Linked DNA regions of Oreochromis niloticus. Each later gene encodes a partner of the first gene's protein in a complex. Links are inferred from orthologs where the notes say so. Each region holds a gene or a part of one and is shown on either strand. Other genes may lie near its edges.

The links. Proteins that work in one complex are often made in the same cells at the same time.
Region 2: nod2 (region 1) and map3k20a share a complex: the UniProt entries of both Homo sapiens proteins name them as parts of the signaling complex. The link is inferred for Oreochromis niloticus from reciprocal best matches to the Homo sapiens genes NOD2 and MAP3K20.

The regions. Positions count from the first base shown.
Region 1 is NC_031965.2:31,482,307-31,492,997, reverse strand, and holds the start of nod2 (nucleotide-binding oligomerization domain-containing protein 2), read left to right. Parts: upstream 1-5,297; 5' UTR 5,298-5,556; intron 5,557-5,853; 5' UTR 5,854-5,927; coding exon 5,928-6,413; intron 6,414-6,899; coding exon 6,900-7,026; intron 7,027-7,283; coding exon 7,284-9,054; intron 9,055-9,205; coding exon 9,206-9,289; intron 9,290-9,372; coding exon 9,373-9,456; intron 9,457-9,540; coding exon 9,541-9,624; intron 9,625-9,698; coding exon 9,699-9,782; intron 9,783-9,893; exon of another isoform or gene 9,894-9,919; coding exon 9,920-10,003; intron 10,004-10,127; coding exon 10,128-10,211; intron 10,212-10,449; coding exon 10,450-10,522; 3' UTR 10,523-10,691. UniProt on the Homo sapiens protein: Pattern recognition receptor (PRR) that detects bacterial peptidoglycan fragments and other danger signals and plays an important role in gastrointestinal immunity.
Region 2 is NC_031987.2:16,484,602-16,495,914, forward strand, and holds the start of map3k20a (mitogen-activated protein kinase kinase kinase 20), read left to right. Parts: upstream 1-6,940; 5' UTR 6,941-7,177; intron 7,178-8,638; 5' UTR 8,639-8,669; coding exon 8,670-8,828; intron 8,829-11,049; coding exon 11,050-11,137; intron 11,138-11,313. Other genes in the region: rapgef4a (rap guanine nucleotide exchange factor 4), read left to right, coding at 1-30, 131-218, 337-401, 510-564, 1,792-1,919. UniProt on the Homo sapiens protein: Stress-activated component of a protein kinase signal transduction cascade that promotes programmed cell death in response to various stress, such as ribosomal stress, osmotic shock and ionizing radiation.

The sequences.
Region 1 (10,691 bases):
TGCTACAGTTACAATCAGGTCTTCTCTATCCTTGAATGAGAAAGATCTGACTTGCCATATGCTGTGCAAACTCGTGTGCTGATATGAGTTTAAAGTCCAGTTAATATAAATAGTCGATATAAATACGTGCAAGTGATGTAGAGGTACTGATGGATGGAAGGTCAGCTTCTGGTTTACACCATATATAGAAAGTCTGAGCATGTGGCACAGTGTCAGTTATACATACACTCTACTAACAGCAATTACAGTTAACAATTACCAAGAAAAGCAGCTTACAGAAGAAAATAAAGAGCTGCACTCTCTCAGCACTGCACATCATAGAGGTATTTAAGTGTGCTGTTGGCTAAGAGGATATTATTCAAAGTGACAGTTGCTTAGTGTAATTAAAGGTGAGGAGCTCAGCACAGTAGAGTATACTTCCTAATAGTGACACAGTGACTTTTCTAAACCTTGATTATTTTTTATGTTTAGTTTAATGTCATTACTGAGATAATAACCATGTGTGTGGTTATTCCATATTTAAGGCTATGAAGAGTCTGGTGATTGTCATGGAAAAAAAATCCACATTAGCTGGGACTATAATAGGATAAACAGCTGCTGTGAATGTGTACTGTGTTATATTTGAGTTGTTGGGAGACATGGGTTACAAGGAATGGTCTTTTTGGATAGAAATAAACCCCGTCTCTGTGATACCACTGGCAAGACGCAATGATATTGACTTAAATATGGGGAAATGAGAGGCTGCCATAATATGTCCTCTGTGCTTTGTTTCCAGCAGATAGGCAAAAAGCTTTGAAGTGTGGATTGGCACAGCAGGGTGCTAGCTTCTGTAAAGGGAAGATGCTAAACGCTAAAGGATGAGAAGGACATGAGGTAGTCTATTACCAATAAAGGAGCAAAGAGGGGGGAAAAGGCAAATCCAATGATAATGTACATCTGTTCCAGTGAATTTATGAGCTTTGAACATTTTTTCATGTGGGATAAGTGGATCCTTTTTCTTACAGAATCTCAGAACTTCAAAGCAGATTTGCTTTGGATAATGCAAATGATCGGAATATGCCGGTCCCAGCCTCCTCAAGAGCATGAAAAGAAAAAGGGGAAATAGAGAATTAAAGCTAATTGGCATGGCAGTCTTTTATGTGTCTAAAGAAGGGCAAAAATAAAACACTTCAATTATTGTCAAGTTCATTCAATTAGGAAACAAGCTGACAAAGTGTTAAAGTTCAGTGTGACTGACCCAGAACTCATTTTCATTAAATGCCACTTTTCATTTTGGACAATTCCTTTGTTATAGCTGATGAAATCATAATTAGAAGGATTTAATTCACCCTATAATTACTAAGATGGCAATGACTTTGTTTAGCTCTGGTGCTGTGGTGGCTCGTATATAGGACTGAAAGTTATTTTTCCACTAGTCCAATATTTTCCACTTCTTATATATCATACCTCCAGAACAATGTGAGCATTTTAAGCAAACACAATCTGTTTATTAAGTTACTATTATGTTATTTAGTATTGGGTATAAAAAAAAATAAAACATCAACAAACAAGGATCACAGTTTAATTATGTCTTGTATATTCTGATCCCTATGTTTTTTTAAAACTTGGTCAAATGAATGGTAAGTAAAGAACAATACATCCTTTATTTTTCCTTTGCAAGGTAAAAGAGATTGTGAGGCTATACAGTGAGTCCATTTTTGAAAAGCTAAAATAGATTGTTTTGCATCTACAGGAATCTATAGTATGCATGAGAGGTTTAATTTAGGAAGAGGATCCAGGATATGGATATGTAGCCTGATCTTTGCAGTTTCACTGCATGAACTGATGTAATAACGCAGAGAGCAAAGTTTGGCCATTTTACATACATTTATATCCAAACTCAGTCTTTATCAGCTTTAACTTATGAATTAAATAGCTCACCATAAGATATAAACCCCGCCACAACAACATAAAAGGCAGCAGCGTGTTCCTTTTCAGTACATTCTGCAAATTGCACTGTCCAACTTTTTCAAAGTCCAAATCTGCTGTCTGGACTTCCAGAGGCTGACTCCAGACTTCTCGAGATAGCAAATGAATAAAACAAGGCTCCAGAAAGTTGCATTGGTTTTTAGTAGATCATTGGAGCTCTTTCTTTTTGCAACATCAAAGGCAGACGCAGCTCTTTGATGTGGCAGCATGCTGTTTAAGGTACAGACTGAATGGAGAGGTGTCAAGCTGCAAGGTGCCTCTGTAGTTTACGTTGAGTGCTGCAGAGAGCTGCAGATGAAAGGCGCAAACAGAGTTTGATAATGAATGTCCAACAAGTAGGACCCATCTCAGACAGCGCACACTCAGCAGGGTGCTTGCGCTAACCTTGAGCGCAGCACCCTAAACCTCGGGCAGATGCCGGAGACCAGACTCCTTCAACTTGGCTGCTCCTGCAAAAAGGGAGCTCTCAGATGTGAGCTTTAATCTTCCTGTCAATTAAATCCTGATTGACACACACACCCATACACACATCATCATGGACACATGCTCCTTTTAACCAGTCAGCTCTGAAAGCGACGCCATCCACTTCCTCTGCTGAATACTTGTCTTTCTGGCTTGAAGAGGCTATTTCTAATTATACATAAATCCTTCCAATATAAAAGGCATTTTTTGTCTTATATCCATGCATGCTGCAGTAGTTGTCCTCCAACTTTAACTTTATAAACTGAATGAGGTAATTCACTCAGCCATTCTCTCAGTGGAAAGCAATATTACAGCATGTCAATATACCATACACTCAGCTTTTTAACCTGCAATACCACAGATAATATGGCTGCCTTGTTTTTTTAGTTTGCAACCTGTTAAAATAAAGGTTTTACTGCTTGTGTAAACAAGCATACTGGGAAGAATGCTTTTTTTTGCATCACTGGTTTGGAGTTCTCTGTATTTTTATTAAAACATCTCTAATATTCCATCTTATTTATGTTTCCTATTATGCTTAGGAGTTATGGGAACTGATCTCTGAAACAACTATTCAAATTTTAATTATAAAAGAGATATGACTGTTTTTCAAAGTCTTTTTGACAAAGTGCCACTATAATTTTACTAACCTGCTAAGGAAGCACTATCTGATACAAACACATAAACTGTTAGCTGATTGAATTTAAGTCAATACATGTAGTTTTTAACAATAATGCAAATCGGTGTGCTCATGTTTGTGGTGTCATTGTACCGAATTTCCCTGACAGTGATCAATTACAGCTTCTGATTATTTGACTGTTTGATTTTGTCATATCATGTTATGTTATTTTTTTTTTGCAATATAGTTCTTTCAAAGTTCACTACATATGTTCTAAAAACAAGCACACTTTGTGTAACTGTAAGACTACACTAAAATGAGACATGACGGCTTGCTTCTGGGAGTTCTGAATCTCTGGTAAAGCAATCAGTACACAAACAGCCCATCAGTGCACCTGGCTTAACACTGAGCTCACAACATGTGCTTTTGATATCTGCACAGAAAGAATGCACAGTGATAAAATGGCTGCAGCCAAAGTATTCCATCTCTGTTACGAGAGTGAGAAGGATCCAGCCCTGAGCTGCACTCTTACTCATAGACATACAGTTTAAAGCTGATTTACTGGATGAGGTTATTTAGTGCTGGGTGGATCAAGACTTAACATTCATGTCCAATAAAGTCCAAGATAGGGATTAGATCCTGTGGTTCAAGGGTAATTTGATGTAATTTGCGATTTCAGGCTTGTCATGAAAAATAAATAAATAAATAACATACACAAACACACACACACACACATACAGAGGAAGACAGCCAGAGTGATAGATGTAGCTATACTGAATGATAGCGACATCAGGAAGAAAGAACATGTGAAGCTGAAGAAGTACCAAGTGCTAAGAGAAGAACTCAAGAAGATGTGGAGGATGAAGGCAACAGTAGTCTTAGTGGCAATCCCAGCATTTGGTGGCATGACCACCAAGCTAGGTGAGTGGCTCCAGCAGATCCCAGGAACAACATCTCTGTCCAGAAGAGCGCAGTCCCAGGAACAGCTATGATACTGCGCAGGACCATCAAGCTCCCAGGCCTCTGGTAGAGGACCTGTGCTCGAAGGATAAAGACTGCCCAAGGAGATTTTTTTTTATATATATAGAGTTGTCTTTAAAGTGATTGAGCAACAAAACTGTTCCTAATAATATAAAAATAATAATAATAATGAAGAATATTATATAGCCCAAACAAATGAAGTGGAGTTACATATTTTTCCTGCAATAAAAAAAGTGTTTGGAACTGTCTCCAAACAGAGCACAGAAATACAGCTATGTCTTTTGGGACCGTGTGTGTATTTTATTTTTTTATTTTCGACATTTTTTTTACCCTTTTTCTTATGTGTTGAAACTTCTCTCGACCCCCTGCTGTGATTTGGATAACAGAACTCCACCTTAAAGCTTCAAGTAAGATGCCTGACAGAGAGCACTCTGCATTACACTCCCCTTGGTGGAGTTGCCTGTTTTCAGACAAGAAGAACAAGAAAAAGAAGAAGAGAAACTCCCGTTTGAAAGTTTTACTCCAGTTTGTCTTTGATTACTCCTGCCCTTGAGTGTTTGAGGATTTTCTCGAACAGGGCACAGCGAACACACACAATAAGCTAATCATGTTACTCAGGAGGGAGCTGTAATAATGAAAATGATAAATATATGACTGCCCGAAAAGCCACTCTCGCACCTATTTTATCTCAGCTTCAAAGAATGCAGAGGGAGTAAGGAGCATTATGTGCGGTTTTAGGGTTGGGTTTTTTTGAAGTTTAGATCAGATGCACAGCATGACGCCTAGACTGCAGGTTCTCAGTTTCTGTTCTAACATTGTAAAACTGATACCGTAGCAAAATGATTCCCTACAACCTCTTTATGAATCTGCTGGGGTTTTCTGCTTGATTTCTAATTAAACCGCAGTATCTTGTGCCCACAGACACAGTTAGAGCTCTGATTGAATTGATTCGAAGAAGACAGCTTTAGTGATACTAAAAGAAACTGTTAAAAGTGGAAAATCTCTGCCGACACCATGTTGTTTTCTTATGCAATAGTTCCATCAAGTGGTTACAACACCAAACTGCGACGAGGATGGAAATACCTAGGACCCGTAAAAGTTTCCGTCACTTTCTTTAAAAAAAGAAAGAAAAAAAACCCACCCAAAATTACCCTTTCTATTCAACCTTCTGCATTTTTAAAAGCTGCAGTTCCTCTTTGTGGTCTGAAGTATGCAGTATCTTGCAAACAAGACAAGAGGATGTGGAAGTCTCAGTGAAATATAAGCGCTTGAGTGTGGCAAGCTATATTTAACCACCCTTAAATATCAAGTCACCATTGTTTGCTCTGTTTGGAAAACACCAGGGAAGTTGAGCATTGCGTCTATGCCACATCTCCGCCTGTATTTAGTTTCCATATTATGGGAGGGACTTGGAAGCAGAGCAAGTTTCACTTTCAGCTGCAGAACAGGGAAGCGGTAGGACCCTATAATTCTACAGCGGCTCTGTTCGTATGACAGAGGGAGGAAAGAAAGCCATGTTCCCATTAAATGTAAGTGTTCTTTTTTGTGGTTTTATTTTGTGTTACTTGCGTCTGCAATTGAGGTCGCGTAGTCGACTATTCTGTACTTGTACATGTTTTAAAGGGACCTGCAACACATTTGATGTGTATGTAATGGTAGCCATATATTCTTTTCATTCTGTTTTAACTTTTTGTTATGGCTTAACAGAAAGACGCACAAAATGACATGTACTGCTGTATGGTATTCAAAACAGAGTTAGAAAAGAAAGAAGGAAGCTCTAGTTGGCCCATAGTAACATGATGACATTTGGCCATTTGCTGTGACAGGTTTTCACACCACAAGAAGCAGAAGTAACCACAAACTGAATGTCCCTGAGCATGGGCACTGATATGGACAAAGAATGCTTGCCGAGGAACTAGTGCTTAAACAAAGGACGAAGATACTGCATGCACTGTGCAGCAGTGGGTCAGCAGAACATCTGGAGAGAGTTCTGGATATACTGCTTGCCAAGGGGGCGCTCATATGGGAGGACTACCAGAACATACAGGTACCAGGAAGAACACTATATACCAATGCAAGACAGCTGCTTGATCTGGTCTATACAAAGGGTGTGGACACATGTGGGCTCTTTCTAGCTGCTCTCAAACTGGCCTTGCCTGAAGCACAGGCAGTGGGGCTCTCCTTCTCTGAATCCTGCTCAAATCTACAAGAAAACGATGAATGTCAGAGCACTTCTAATCAAACTCTTCTGGCTCAACGACCAAGCCTTGTCCACAAGCTTCAGGGCTGTGTTGATGGTGTTCTAGCAGCTCTGCTGGATTCAGGTCACTTTTCTTCAGCTGATTGTGATGAAGTGCGGTTACCTATATATACTCCCACCCAACAGGTACTGTAAGCACCTGAACGTCACATTGTTAAAATGTGGTTTGACAACTTTATACAGTTGTTCTTTACCTTTAAACTGTCTTGGAATGAAGCTTGTCATTATTTCTGCATTCCTGATACTTAGATGTCATACAGGCAGACGTGCTGGGGTATTTTTGTTACTTTTTGTGTTACTTTATCAGTCAATACTATTACTTTAAATAGATCTGATACTATTCTGATATTCCTGAGTAATTATACAAGTAATATAAAATAATACAAAGAAAACTGGTAAACATATCTTGCTGCCTTTGTATAGATCCAGGCAAGGTTTTTACCACTTGCTGCCTGTCTTTGTGCTAAGCTAAGCAAGGTAAAGCTCTTTCTGCTGTTGCATTATTAGATTATGAATATGTAAGTTGGTCTTTTATCTAACTCCGCAACAATCCAAATAACTGTCAAAAATAAACTTTTTATTATTTTCATCCATGTCCATGTGATCAATCAGGCAAGGCGTCTGCTTGACCATGTCAGATCCAGAGGTGATTTAGCAGCATCGGTTCTCCTGCAGTACATTCATCAAAAACAAGAACCTGGATTGCCACTTAACCAGAGGGAACTGACTCCTCCCAAAGGTCTGTTACTGTCAAAAGCAATGTTTAAAATCGCAGAAATATATATCGTTTTTATGAGTAAAGCTATCCTTGATCACCCTCATAGGAAAAATGCCCCAAATACAGAAGGTTTCTGGTTATGCTTTGAAAATACAAAATTGGCAGGCATGCCAAGATCAGTTATGCATGTTCCAGATTTGACCAAAGATATACAGGATGTATGAAATGATGACTGGTTCACTCATTCCATCTTTTCTTCACAAATTTTTCTTTCACAGAGTTTTTAAAGTACCAGAAGAAGCTGAGCAGTTCTGTGTCTGCTCAAGCCTGCTTTCTCAGTACTTATGCGGGAACTAGCCATATGTCTCTCGATGACATTTACACTGATGGCCAGCTGGAACTAGCCGAAGTTAATGCCCATGGACCTTTGGGATTGGAAGACATCGTTGGTTTGGTGGGTATAGTGAATGAGGAGGCAGACACAGTGCTAGTATCCGGGGAGGCAGGCAGTGGAAAAAGCACCCTTCTCCAGAGGCTGCACTTGCTTTGGGCTCGAGGGGTAGCCCTTCAAGACTTTCTCCTTCTATTTCCATTCAGCTGTCGCAGGTTGAATTCAGAGCACAATGAACTGTCAGTCCAGGAGTTGTTGTTTCAGCACTGCTGCTGGCCAGACCGGAACCAAGAAGAAATTTTCCAGTTCATCTTGGACCACCCACATCAAATCCTGTTCACTTTTGATGGCCTGGATGAGCTCAAGCAGAGCTTTACAGATGAGCACAGAGTTTGCTGCCCCACCCAGCGTGCACCTGTTCATGTATTATTGTTCAACTTAATCCAGGGTTCCCTCATGAAGGGGGTGCAGAAAGTGGTCACTAGCCGTTCAGAAGCAGTGAGCCCATTGTTAAAGAAGCACCTACGCAAAGAGGTTGTCCTGAAAGGGTTTTCCCCAACTGGGATTGACAGTTTTGTACGGAAACATCACAGGGACCCTACTGTAGCTGCTAAGGTTTTAGAGTCAATGCAGGCGAACACAGCTTTACTTGGACTATGTCACAGTCCAGTTCTCTGCTGGATAGTTTCACAGTGCCATAAGGAGCTGCTGGGCTGTGGAGAAGGCAGCCCCAAAACAATTACAGATGTTTACCTGATGATCTTACAGCACTTTCTCCAGCACCAAAGTCCTCTGAAGAGCACCATGGGTTTAGGCTGGCTACAGGAGCACCTAAAAACAGTCCTTCTTCTTGGACAGCTTGCTTTTGAGGGGATAACATCCACCTGTTATATTTTTTCAGGTACAGACCTAGAAGCATGCGGTGTAACTGAAAAGGATATCTGCATGGTTTTTCTGATAAAAAGCAAAGATATGTCCTCTACTCACTCCAAATGCTATGAATTCAGTCATGTGACATTGCAATGTTTCTTTGCTGCTCTCTTCATTGTTTTGTCAAGTAACACTAACCGTTCAGTTATCCCAAAACTCTTTGAGCTAGAGAACAGGGAGACAGGTCTGACACGTGTCTGCTTTACAGCCTGCTTGCCTTCCAGTGATCAACAACAGCAAGCTTCAGAGAAGGAAAGTAAAGCAGCAGAGACACCAAATCTGCAAATCACAGCCATGTTTGTGTCTGGACTATTGTCCCAGCGCCATCAAAATCTGTGGCTCCACTGCTGCCCCAGTGCTGCAGTGGAGAAAAAGGCCAGACAGGTGGCAAGATGCCTTTCCAAAGGCATTCAGAAACACTTTAGGTCCATTCCCCAACCTGTACAAGGGGAAAAGAAGAGCATGCATGCAATGCCGGACTTTGTGTGGCTTATAAAATGCCTCTATGAGATGCAGGAGAGTCGGATAGCTAAAGATGCTATGAGCAAGCTGGAGGTGGACCATTTGAAATTGACATACTGTAATATCGGACCTGTAGAGTGCACGGCGCTTGCTTATGTGCTCCAGCACTTAAGAAATCCTGTAGGCCTCCAGCTGGACAACAACTCTGTGGGTGATGTTGGAGTGGAACAGCTTCTTCCCTGCATGCACATTTGCAATTCCCTTTAGTAAGTGGAAATTATACATTTTTCTTTTGTTAAATTTCCTTGGTTAATAGATTGAACGCCAATTCATTAGAGTGAACAAACTCTCCCTAACTGCTTTCACTGTAAGAGAGGAACAACTTTTATTCTGAAATGCATATTGTTCCTTCCTTAGCCTCAGAAATAACAACATTACAGATGAGGGCATCCGCAAACTGATTGCTAAAGTCATCCAGTGTGACAGCTTTCAGAAAATTGCGTATGTATTATCAAGGTGATTAATACTGCAAGTTAAATAAAATTTTATCAGTTAATTTTCAAAATCTTTTTGTTTCTTTCCAGGCTCTTCAACAACAAATTAACTGATGCTTGCATGCAGGATTTTTCTTATTTATTGAAGACCAAGCAGGTCTTCATTTCTTTAAGGTCAGCGTTTGTCATCAAATGTGACTCTACTGTTGGATTTTACCAATGACCAAAAGATTAACAAATAACCTTCTTCTCTTCAAGGCTAGGCAACAATAACATAACAGCAGAAGGAGCAAAGCAGCTGGCAGAGGGACTGAAAGCCAATCAAACCTTGGCGTACTTAGGGTAAGTGTTTCCCATAAAATTTCATGTTTCATTGTTGATGAATTTTCATTTACAGTATTTCTTTGCATTTCCAGGTTATGGGGCAATAGGATAGGTGATGCAGGAACTGAGGCCCTTGCTAGTAGTCTTGAGAGAAGCAACTCTCTGGTGTGGCTAAGGTAAGATTTGCAATAATTCTGGAACATGTTTGCTTGACTTTCACATTATGAAAACCATGAAAGTGTTATTTACATGATATGTTAGGATGTTTTATCTGTTGTTTTTGAAAGCGCATGTCAGCACATTTTGCTTACAGCCTGGTAGGCAATGGTGTAGGGAGTGCAGGAGCATGTGCCCTCGCTAATCTCATCAGGAAGAGCACATCACTGCAGGAACTTTGGTAAGTGTTAGACACAAGTTGTATGCAAGTTGTATGCAAATTACCAATAGCTGGCTGGTTTGATGGTAACCACTGCTTGCACAGCAGTGCTTAAAATGCTCCACCCTCTTATTTCCTGTTAAAGGTTGACAGAAAACTGCATAACCAGAACGGGGGTGGAATGTCTGATTCAAGCCCTTAAACACAATACACATGTGACATCAGTATGGTATGTAATGCTCACCAAGCCTGACACTCATGAATACAAAGTTTCCTACATTCTTTAGAGCAGGCACTTTTGGACTGTTTGCATCCAGACAAGTTGTTTGTCAGTTTCAGTGCCAAGAAAAATGCTAAAAAAAAATGCATCAGTTTGGTGTAAGCTAGACTATTCTTTTTCTTTGTTTTTGTTCCCATGTCTCCTGTTCATTTATTTACTACTACTACTGTCTCTTCTTATATTATAGGTTAAGAAACAATGATCTCAGTTTGGAGGATGCAGAAGAAATGAAGCAACTGGAATCAAGACTGATCTTCTGATTTGTATTGCACTGGCAAAAGACTGTACTTTGCAAGAAAATGTATTTTATTTATTACAGGAATAGTTTCTACTTATATTTGAGATTTAAAATGTGTGTAATAGGGTTTTTTCTTTTATTTGGATCAGTGTTTTTTCAAGGTTGCAAAATACATACACCTCTTTATTGGG
Region 2 (11,313 bases), on another chromosome or scaffold:
AAATTTTATGTGGAATTTGAAAACTTGATGGTAAGCTCCAGTCAAAATTTAAGATGAGCCACCTGATCAGAGTAAAATATGAGGTTAGTGTCCAGACTGTGATTGATCCACAGCATGACTGTCTCCACAGGATCCGTCCAGGAACCACAGGGCGTACCGGCTAACAGTAGCCAAACTGGAACCTCCCATCATTCCTTTCATGCCGCTGCTGATCAAAGGTTAGGCCAATTTATTGGATGACAGTTTATCATTTTGGCCTGTAGACCACAATTGTTTCCCTGCTGAATTGCTTCAACAGCTTTAACACTTTCCAATTGGTCCTTTTGTTTTTTCTAGACATGACATTTACTCATGAGGGCAACAAAACATTTATCGACAGTTTGGTCAATTTTGAGAAAATGGTGAGGCTCTGCTGTGCAGATTATTGTCCATGAGTTGGTGTGAATCTTTTTTGTTCTTCTCAGCTAATTGGCGATATTTGTTGCTGATCATTGCTTTTTGTCTTGCAGCGGATGATAGCTAACACGGTGAAAATAGTGAGATACTGTAGAAGCCAGAGATTCAGTAAGTTGTTGTTGTTGTTGTTTTTTAAATGTACTAATTTCACAGATGTCACACTTAATACAGTGGTCCCTTGCTATAACGCGGTTCACCTTTCGTGGCCTCGCTGTTTCTCAGATTTTCTTGGGTGCAATTTTCCATTTTTTTTTTATTTATTTATTTTTTTTCTTACAGCGTCCTGATTGGCTGTAGACCATTGTCAGTCAATCTCGTGCCGTGTCTCCTGTACAGTACAGAATGCGTTCAGCTTGTCAAATTTACATAAATGTTCAATCGCTAGAAGTGTGACTCTGATGTGCTGTACTGTATGTTTGTAAGTTTTCTCCCCAACAAACATAACAATGTCGATGAAACGTTTTGCACTGTCAAAGGAACCTGGGGGTGCCTTTGGTTTTATTCTTTAATGACTTATTTTTCCAAGAAGGTTTGAACTTTGAGATTGTTTAAACAACAGAGAAAAGTGTGAAAATGTTCATGCCTGTCTGAGAAAAGTGTATAAAGTGTGTAGTCAGGGGTTTTACAGCCTTAAAACATCTATAATAATTGTAAAAAATAAAGTTACTTGGCAGATTTCACCTATCGCGGGTTATTTTTGGAACGTAACTCCCGCGATAAACGAGGGACCACTGTACAACAAAAGGACACTTGATAAAATTAAACATAAAAAAATAAATAAACAAAATATATCTTGGAAGCACAATATCAAAAAACTGTATGATGAAGAAACAACAATAAAAGACTTTATGTCCTGTTAATTTGATGTCTATTAGATACATCTTAGAATAAACCTGTAAGCTGGAATAGAGCTAATAGAAGAGGCCATGCTCCAAGAAAGCACATTGGGAGAAATTCTGACAATGCAACTAGCTTCCCATAATTTTAATTTCTTATTTCCAAAATAAAAAATAATATTCTCACAATGAGTTGAGAAAAGTATCCATTTTGACTGACTGACAGCAAGCTGTGATATTGATCTTTTGAAGTTTAATTGGAGTATAATATTGGTATCTCTGAACCTTTAACATCTATATTTGATCATTTATCCAGCTGTTTCCCATTAATCCCTTCATATTGATTGCCCATACAGCTTAGATGAACTCAATCAGCAGAAATATTTTTTTAAAAAAAGCACAAATATTTTAGGTTCCTGCCTGATTTTGCTATATGATGAACTTACAAATTTTTCTTGCATTTTTTTCCTGACACTGCCCATCTTTTCAATGAAATCAGGTCCAGAGTCACCACTGCCAAGCAAGAACCACCCTGACGTCTGGACTTATATTCGTCAGCTTAACGTGATCGATAACCAAAGGATGCTTACTCAGCTCTCTCATGGACTTGAGCCCCGCAGGTCTTGAAATCCACTCAGGGACAGAAACATTACACGAAGACGCTACTCCATGACGTGATGTGCGCTCGCTTGGGATGAGTTTACTTAGTACAGGATTGAGGACCCGATGTTGTATCAGAAAATGAGATATTGTTTCAGAAGCCTGCCTTGTTAAGCTTTTTCTTACAGTAATTTGTGATATTTTAGCAGTAATTGTTGGCAGGTGACGTACCTCCTCGTATCATTGTCGTGCAGATATCACAACAAACTGTGTAAGATTTTAGATGTAAACGCTATATGATGCTGACGCTTACAGGTCTCAATATTCCTGATATTCAGTTGTTTCGTATATTTTGTATCAGACAATATTTATACATATTTAAGTTTTTAAGACTCTTGTGTTGTAAATTGTATACAGATATTTATTTTGACAAGCATGCAGAGGATTATGATTGTTTTACTTTTTATTCATGTGAGCACATTTCTCTTTAAAGCCTGAGATATCATAAGTGTCTGAAAACCTTTTTGTGCGCTCTAAATAATAAAAACTTTTAGATGTATTTGTTCAACTTTATATTTATTACTTTATAAAGACAGTTTGAACAGTATACTGTCAGTGTATAAGATGGAAATCAACCAAGACAACTCATGAAACATTTGCTTACATCTTATTGAATTAGAGCACTAAACCTCAGAGCAGCAGCAGCAGCAACAGCAGCAGAACAGGTCAGCTGATCACAGTATGTACATTATGAAAATCTACTGGAACACACAATAGAAAAGACTGTGAGCTGTGATTATTTTCATCCCGATTATCATCCCGACTGTACTCATTTTCCTGTTTCGATGTGGAAGCAAAGTCACCCTCTACAATGTAGGCAACTATTTTTTAAAGATTCTCCTTCTTTTTCTCCGCTCATGTTCTACATAAGTGATTCAATTCATTAGAAGTAAAATTTAGAGTGAAATAAAATTTGGATTCCCATGCATTAATATAATTTTATTCTATTAATATAGCACAACGTTCTGTTCGCTTTGCACAAAAGTAGCTGATAGAAATGTCCTCTAAAAAGCTACTTTTTACATCCTTACTTAGAATACATTTCAAAGCCAGTACTTTTTCCACTTTTACTTGAGTAAAGAAGTGAAATCAATACTTTTAACTAGTATTTTTTTTAACAAAAATGTCTGTACTTCTACTTAAGTACGAATGTCTGTAATTTTGCCACCTCTACTTGACACTAGCCTATGAATCATTTAAGCATAAAACTCATTCAAGCATAAGTCAAGGGATGAATCACCGTTGTATCTACATAACAGACAAATAAGCAACGAACAATTTTTAAGTTGTATCTTTAGGAACTTTGTTACTAGCAGCCTGCCACAAAACTTGTTCCCAAATCAATCTGTTGGACCTACAAAAATAATAAACATAGCACAGTCTGAAAAACAAAATTGTGTTTTTGCACCAACGAGGTGATTCTCAAACAGCTGTTAGCTAAAAACTTATCTTGACATGCTATGTAAAAAAATATTGAGGAAAATGGATTAGGACTAAAGAAGTGGGAGACCCACAAACTATCTATAGTATTTGAAAGTCATGACCTTAAGAAACAAGGGGAAAAAAAGAAAAAAGACCTGACAGGACCTGAGACATGCATCTGGCTCTTCAGCTGTTCCATCAACATGCCTGGAGAACTATGGCTGCTCATTAAAGCCTCATTAGAAATGATCTCAGTGGAAAGGTGGCTGTCAAGGAGTCATTCTTAAGAAAGTGAAACATGGAGAAAAGGCTGAGTATGCCAAATTACAGAAGAATCGTACTGAAAAAAATCTGTGGCAACAAGTCTTATGGAGTAATGAATCCAACTATGGAGGAGGTCAGGAGAGTGGTGCGTGCTGTGAGTGTCTGCAGCCATTTGTAAAACATGGTGGAAGCGCTGCAATAATTTCTAGCTTCATTTCAGCCAGTGGTGTTGGACCTCTTGTCAAAAATAATGGAAATATGAACACAAATGTACCATCAGAGTTTGATCCACCATGCAATACCATCTGGACACTTCTGATTGGCTTCATTTTTCAGCATGACAATCATCCCAAAAGGCCTATGCAGTAAAAAAACAAAACAAGATCCAAAAGAGACACGGATAACAAAACAACGGAGTATTATCACTCATGGATTGGCCTCCCCAGACCCTGAACCTCAACATCACTGAAGCAACATGGAGAACAGAACAAAAGTCAGCCAAAGAAGAGCTTTGAATGGGCGTCAAGAAGTGTCCATATTCCCAAAGACTACCTAAAGAAATTACAAGATGTTTACCTAAGAGAGCTCAGGCTGTGTTGAAGAATAAAGGTGGTCATACCAGAGAGTGACTTTCAAGCTAATTTCAATGGTATAAAGAAATAAAACAAAAATATAAAGAAATGAGGAGTGGCAGACTGCTTTCTATCTTGTAAATCAGGTTCTGCTTTAAGAAATAGCAGTTTATTAGTGCTGCTGAACCTCTAGTGTAGATTTGTTTAGTTAAGCTGGTTTCATAAAGGATTTCTTCTGAAAGTTTACGCTGAAAATATTTGGGGCAGCAAGAAGGAATTAAATGTAAATTAATTCTTATCTCAGGTTTAGCTTTGAGTGATTTGGCGTGTCTGATCAAACATTAATCATCATCACTTCCATTCATTTCTAGAAGTGCATTAAACATTTTTATTGTTGACTTATACTGTTGACCTGTGAATTGTGTCAACAGTGAAGCAGATGGTTGCTTTATATTTTCCATTCGCCACTACATGAGGAAAGAATGAGTCACTGACAGCTTTTAAGTTTGCAGAAATGTATTGCCTAGATTTAATATGCGATGAAAAGAGAATCAGTGAATCTGATATCTCACAGTGTTTCTGACGTCACAGTGGAGATTGAAGAAGTACTCATATTCTTCCTCCTAAAGCAGGGGTGTCGAACTCCAGGCCTTGGGGGTGTCCTGCAACATTAGTTCTTGTGGAGTCAAAAGTAAATTGAAGTGAATGAAAAATTGTTTTATATAAATTGTACAATATTCTTAAATGCTTTATTAAGCTGAAAAATGCTGTTGAAGGGTTTTTGAGTGATATATTTCTATATTAGTTCATATAGATGGTACAGTACATTTGAATGATTCCTTTGCTTTACGTGGTCTTATTGATTAAGAAATCCACATTGTCGTGAGTTTACATGGATTAAATGAGTCGTTGGTGATCTTATTGATTTCCCACCAAGCTTCCTGAGTTGCTGAAATGATGAAGGTCTTACAGCAATTATGTTTTTTGATGGATTGGGACATGAGTATAGGTCTTTAATAGAGAGAAATCCACAGAATGACTTTTCGATTTCAAGTCAAGGATCTTGTTGCATATCTGAATATATCAATTTATTATGTCGCCATCACCAAAAGAGAAAAAAAAATCTAACAATCCAATGAAAAGATTTAACACTGCACACTGATCTAAGCTTTTGCACATTTACAAATACATCTGAGAACATCTGTGATGAACAACTGCATGCTGCAGCTAATCCAAGATAACATTATGCATAGATCACATATTAACAATTGTAGAATGTACCTCGTGGGCTTCACGGATACAAATGTCCCCAAATTTCTAGCAAATTTCCACTTTCCAGATTTCTGAGTCACAGCTTTGCACTGCGCTCACCTTTTTGCCTTCTATCAGTCGTCTTCACCTATAATAACAACCAAACCCCTCAAAAAAACCCACTTAAACAAAAAATCAGGAGAAAGTTGACAAATCTCAATTTTCTGTCGCCATGCTTCTAAACTATCACCCAGTGGAATGAATCTCAGCTAAAAAACAAACATCCATGCATTTTCTTAACCGTTTATCCCAGCTGTCATGGCACAAATGGCATCTTACGCAACAGACAGGTTGCCAGTCGATCACAGGGCTACCACACACTCTTGTACAGTTAACCTAACATGTATGTCTTTGGACTGTGGGTGGAAACTGATGCATCCAGAGATACCCCACCCAACCAAAGGGACAACCCCATTAAAAAAGGCCCCACCTAGGCTGACCAGGAGGTTTCATTTCAGAACCTGGTTGCTGTTAGAAGTCACACACCTCATCAACCCTTAACTTTCTTGACAGTGGCAATGCAGAAGTCTTTGGGTGTAGCCTGGGTTTAATTGCTAATTGTGTATACCTGACAAGGTGTTGACAAAGACATTTCTGAGATTGGATTTGGACTGTCAACGCCTTTTAGAGCGTTTAGAGTGGTCTCATCCAGATAATGTCTTTTTCAGGGAAAGCCTTCCATATTTCAGTGAGACAATGCTAAACTACACACTTTTATTACAACAGCATGGCTTCATATTAGAAGAGTGTGGTTGCTGAACTGGCCTACCAGACCTTTCTACAACTCTAAACATTTGGCATATGATGACATGAAAAGCACGACAAAGAAGACCCAGAACAATTAAGCAGCTAGAATCTTATATAAGGCAAGGACGGGACATTCTCTCATAAAAGTCCAGCTGATCGCTCTTTTCAGATGTTCATAGGCTATTGTCTTGATGCATGCTCAATCATCCAGGTAAGTAAATCCCAAAAGGTTGATTCTGATCATCTGGATGTAGTGTTTTCAATGGGAGAAAGGTTTCGTCACTCATCTAAGTTCATAGGCTATTGTTATACGAAGAGGACATACTGTGCATTAGTAAGCACGACCCTGTCCAAACCTTTTTGAAATGTGTTGCTGCCTAAAAATGGCCTTATTTTTACCTGAAAATTGTAATATTCTAATTAGAAACATTTTATATGATTTCTGTTATTCTATTGTGCATAAAATATGAGTTTCTGAAACTTCAGATCATCACATTATTTTTCATTTACATTTTACAGAATTAAAAAAGTAATTACAGTTTTAAAATACATTTTTAAACATTTTTTTTACAGAATCAAATTAATTAAAACTACTTTGTTTTTAGTGTACCGCTGAGCTGCCCAGTAAGAGCTTGTTAATGAAAAAGAAATAACCACGCACCATGTAGGCTTTCGTGCGTGTGTCCAGCAGGGGGAGCTGTTGCCATCAGTATCACCAGCTGGATTCTGTCCAGTTCAGCAGGCTGAAAGTTGTGCAACCAGTGAAACCACACTGGATCGGGGAAATCAAGCGACGTCACGTGAGATTTCCCGGAACTATCCTTTCTTTCACAAAGTTTGTCTTGTGCCCGGTGCTGCCTGCGTGGAGGAAGAGCCGCTCCGGAGTGCCAGCCTTCACACTGAATGTCGGTATGTGTGTTTCGATAATGTTCACCAGTTATCCAATTAGTCTCAATGAGCAGTTTCGACATAGGCTCACTGTCCAGCAGATTAAATATAATACCAGTCTTGTTTGATATTAAACACAGATTCGTGCAGATGTGTTGATGCAGGCTGTTGAGTGTGGCGTGTTGCATTAATATAAGACTGCTATAAACATGTAACAATAACAAAGTAATACCGCTTTAACTTTACTCATAATTTTGCTCATACTGTATCTAGTTGTTGTTGAATGTTTTGAGCGGTGATTTAACCCTCACACAGGTATTATCTGCATCTCATACACAGCATAGTAACCGAGTAGGGGTTAGATTGGTTAAGATTGTAACATCTGCACATAACCACACTTTTAGCTGTGAAGATGTGACACAAAAGCTGACCTCGCTGTCTCAGTGATTAATTCATCATTTAGTTGAGATTACAGTGACTACCTGTGGTTTGACATATGGCTGTCAGGCCTTATTGTTGCGGCGCTTGCAGTCGTGTTTGCTATTAAGGGAGAACCTGGCAGCAATGACTGCAGGAGTACTCCCGTATCCCTGTAACCCTGGCTTCTTGAGTGGTCAGACAATACTTGGGGGGCTGGTCCACTGAGCAAATTGCTGCCAGGCTAAGTATAGCATGAATACAAGTAAATCAGCAGAGAGCAATGGCTCCCCTCTGTGACAATGGTGGCATTTCCCGTTGTGATGGATAGTAATCCCAATGAGGACCCAGGTAACAGCCTTTTAAAAGCCATAATTGCTCAGCTGTAAATGGGAAACCTATGAACAATAGCAATGCTATAATTTCCTGTAATGATGGAATTATTTCTTTACAAGATGCTTTTATGTCGCTACAGACAAACAAAAGGATATGATAATAAATCTGTGTGGTGTCCAGTTTGGAAGCATTATACCACTAACCCTGGCTTACACACACATCATCATGTTTGGCCTCAACACAAGCAAGAAGAGCGCTTTTTTTTTTGTTAAATAGAGAAAGAGAATATGTGGATCTCTCAAGGTGTTTTTGTCTTGAAACAAAAGCAGCTTTTATTGTCACAATTGTATGATCTCCCAGCTTGTTGTCCTACTTGAACCAAACCTGCTGGAGTAATCTGCGACTTTAGCTGCATGATCCCAGCATACCAGACATGCCTTTGTCCTTATACAAGCAGAGTCTGGACCCTGAGCCCATTGCTTACTGGTACTGATGAAGAGGACTGTATGTGTAAAAGAGGAAGAGACAGGGGATGGTAGTTTAAAATGAGCGATATCACCCTGCTATGCTCAATCAACCAATGGCAAAGCAGCCTCAAACCTGCAGCCACACTCACAAATGGTGTCTCACAGTGAAGCTTCGCTTTGATGGATTAAGTTTGTTTTACACAGAGGATTTTGTTGTGAACCCGACTTCCTTCATTTCCTGTAATCCCCCTCGCTCTTTTAGGAGCTGACTTGGAACTGAGTGCCATTATGAGATGATGTCTCCCAGCTTGTCTTTCGTGCAAGTCAAGTTTGATGACATCCACTTCTTCGAAAACTGTGGTGGCGGCAGCTTCGGAAGTGTGTACCGGGCCAAGTGGATTTCCCAGGACAAAGAGGTGGCGGTGAAAAAACTGCTCAAGATTGAAAATGAGGTAAGACTCTTAATTACCTGGATCTTTTTTTTTTTCATATATTTTTAATTGTCAGCATAGTAATCATTTTAATTGCTATCCCATTTAGCAAGATCTGGTGACTTCTGTACCCATCACTCATGGTCATTATACTCCCCCTCTCTGAGCAGTGTGCTGCGAAAGAAACATTATTGCCAAATGAAAGAATGTATTTGGCCCAATTACAGCAAAGGCTGCTCCTGAAGTCTCTTTGAAAGCACAGGCCCATTGTCTTAAAGACAAAACAGAATTATCTTTGAAATCTTTTCAGGGAAATCGTATTATGTGTGTCGGCCTGTGATCCGATGTTCAGAAAATTGTTCATTGTTTCTTTTATGAAATTGTAAAAGATCACAGATATCCATTCAACTTCACTCAAGTGTTGGGGAGATGATTGTTCAATGGGAATAATAATGTAATCCTTGCACATTGAACCACATGTTCCTTTAATTATAGTGTTTGGTTACGATTAAATTAGATCGTTTTATCAGGTTTCTGTTCATTCAAAAAAAAAAAAAAAAAGGTTACACATTAACCTTTCTGGGCCACGATTATGCATTGATACGTCTTTGTATACGCTCCAGAAGACTCCATAGGACGAAGAATCTTTGAGAAAAACTCATTGGCGTCCAGTCAGGGTGTGAGATCCATGCCACTGAGTTCTGTAAAAGTCTGAAAAAGTCAAAGTCTGCTTTGAATTTTCCCGTTGGGGCATCAGGATAACCAGCAAGTTCTCATTTCTGCTTTTTATTAAATTCTTTTTTGTGAATTCACAAATGGCGACTCCTTCAATGATCCACTTTAAGTTAACTGGGTTCTAAATGGATTGCAGTAGATCTTATACAAGCACTCATGTCTAGGTCAGGGTGGTGGAGCTTTTATAATCAATTTGAGGAAGTATTCTATGCAGTTATCAGGTCATAATTTTAACTTTCATACTTTGGGTTACTTGGCTTGCTGCTAATAACAGTCATGTGAAAAAGAAAGTTCTCACAGGACTCTGTGCAGTCCTTTGAATAACAAAGCATTAATTCCATAGGAATTAAGAGGTAAACAGCAGCCAGGTGCTGTTTTTCAAATGCACTTAACAAAATAATCATCAGGAAGTATGATCAACTCTATAAAGTTAGAAGTTTTCACAGTTTGCTTGTTCGGGGCATTCAGTGATATGCCACAATCTTTCCAGGACCAGATGTCCCAGTGAAATTACCCCGAAGTCAGATCATGCAATGCTCTGACAAAAAGCAAAAAACCCAAGAGCTGCATTTCAGACTTACAGTTACAGTTACAGTTAGCATGTTAAATCTCAAAGTTCGTGAAAGCATAATTCGAAAAAATCTGAACAAGTATGGCTTTTTGGAAGGATCGTCCGGAGAAACCTTCTTTTGCCTAAAAAGAACATGGTAGCACAGCTTAGGCTTGTACGGTTGTATCTGAACAAACCGCAAGACTTCTGGGACTATTTTTGACAGAGAAGATGTTTTGGTAAGGTTACATACGTATATCAGCATGAACACCTCATACCAACTGTCATGCATGGTAGTGGGAGGGGTGATTTTCTAGGTTTGGTTTGCAGCTACAGAAAATGAGCACCTTGAAGTCACTGAGTTGATCTTGAACTTCTCTGAATACCAAAGTATTCTAGAGTCAAACGTCAATAAAGTTGGGCCATGCAACAGGACAACAGCAAAGGAAAGAATGAAGGTGTTGCAATGTCCAAGTCAAAGTCCAAACCTCAACAGCAGACTTGTCGAGAAGTGTGGTGATATGAAAGACTGATGAAGTCATACAGAAAGTGATTATTTTAAGCTATTGCTCTGAAAGTTGGTTCTGCAAGGTATTTCATCATGAGGTATAGTAATCAAATAGCTTGTTCTTAAAGGAGTGTAGTTATCTGTAGCATAGTAAATCTGCTATAAGGAAAGTGTACTCAGTGCATGCACGGTATGTGCAATTCTGCTAAGTATGTACATGCTGAATAGAGTGTGAATGTTGTCATTTCCTGAGACTTAAATTAACCTTTGGTAAAGGTGATTTAAAAAGAAAATATTACTTCACACACACTGACATCATGTGTGTACTAAATTATAGATCCAGACTTCATTTATTTAAACTCTAATGCAAATAAGGCTTCTATTTTCTCTTCTATTCTCATGAAAATTCCAAATGGTCTTATCTTCTTGTGTCTGTGTTCACTGGTCAGGCTGAAATCCTCAGTGTCCTCAGCCACCGCAACATCATCCAGTTTTACGGTGCGATTGTCGAGGCTCCCAACTATGGAATTGTCACCGGTAAGTTTATAAATAATGATGCATATTTACAGCAAAGAAACCTCAGTGAAAAACAGCATACAACAGAGCCACCAGATAACGTCATGATAGAAAAGGCAGCAGCCAAATGTGTTCGCATCAGTTGCTCAATGGAGCAGAAGTTTCTATGGAAGTGTGAGTGAATGCCAGAGGCCTCA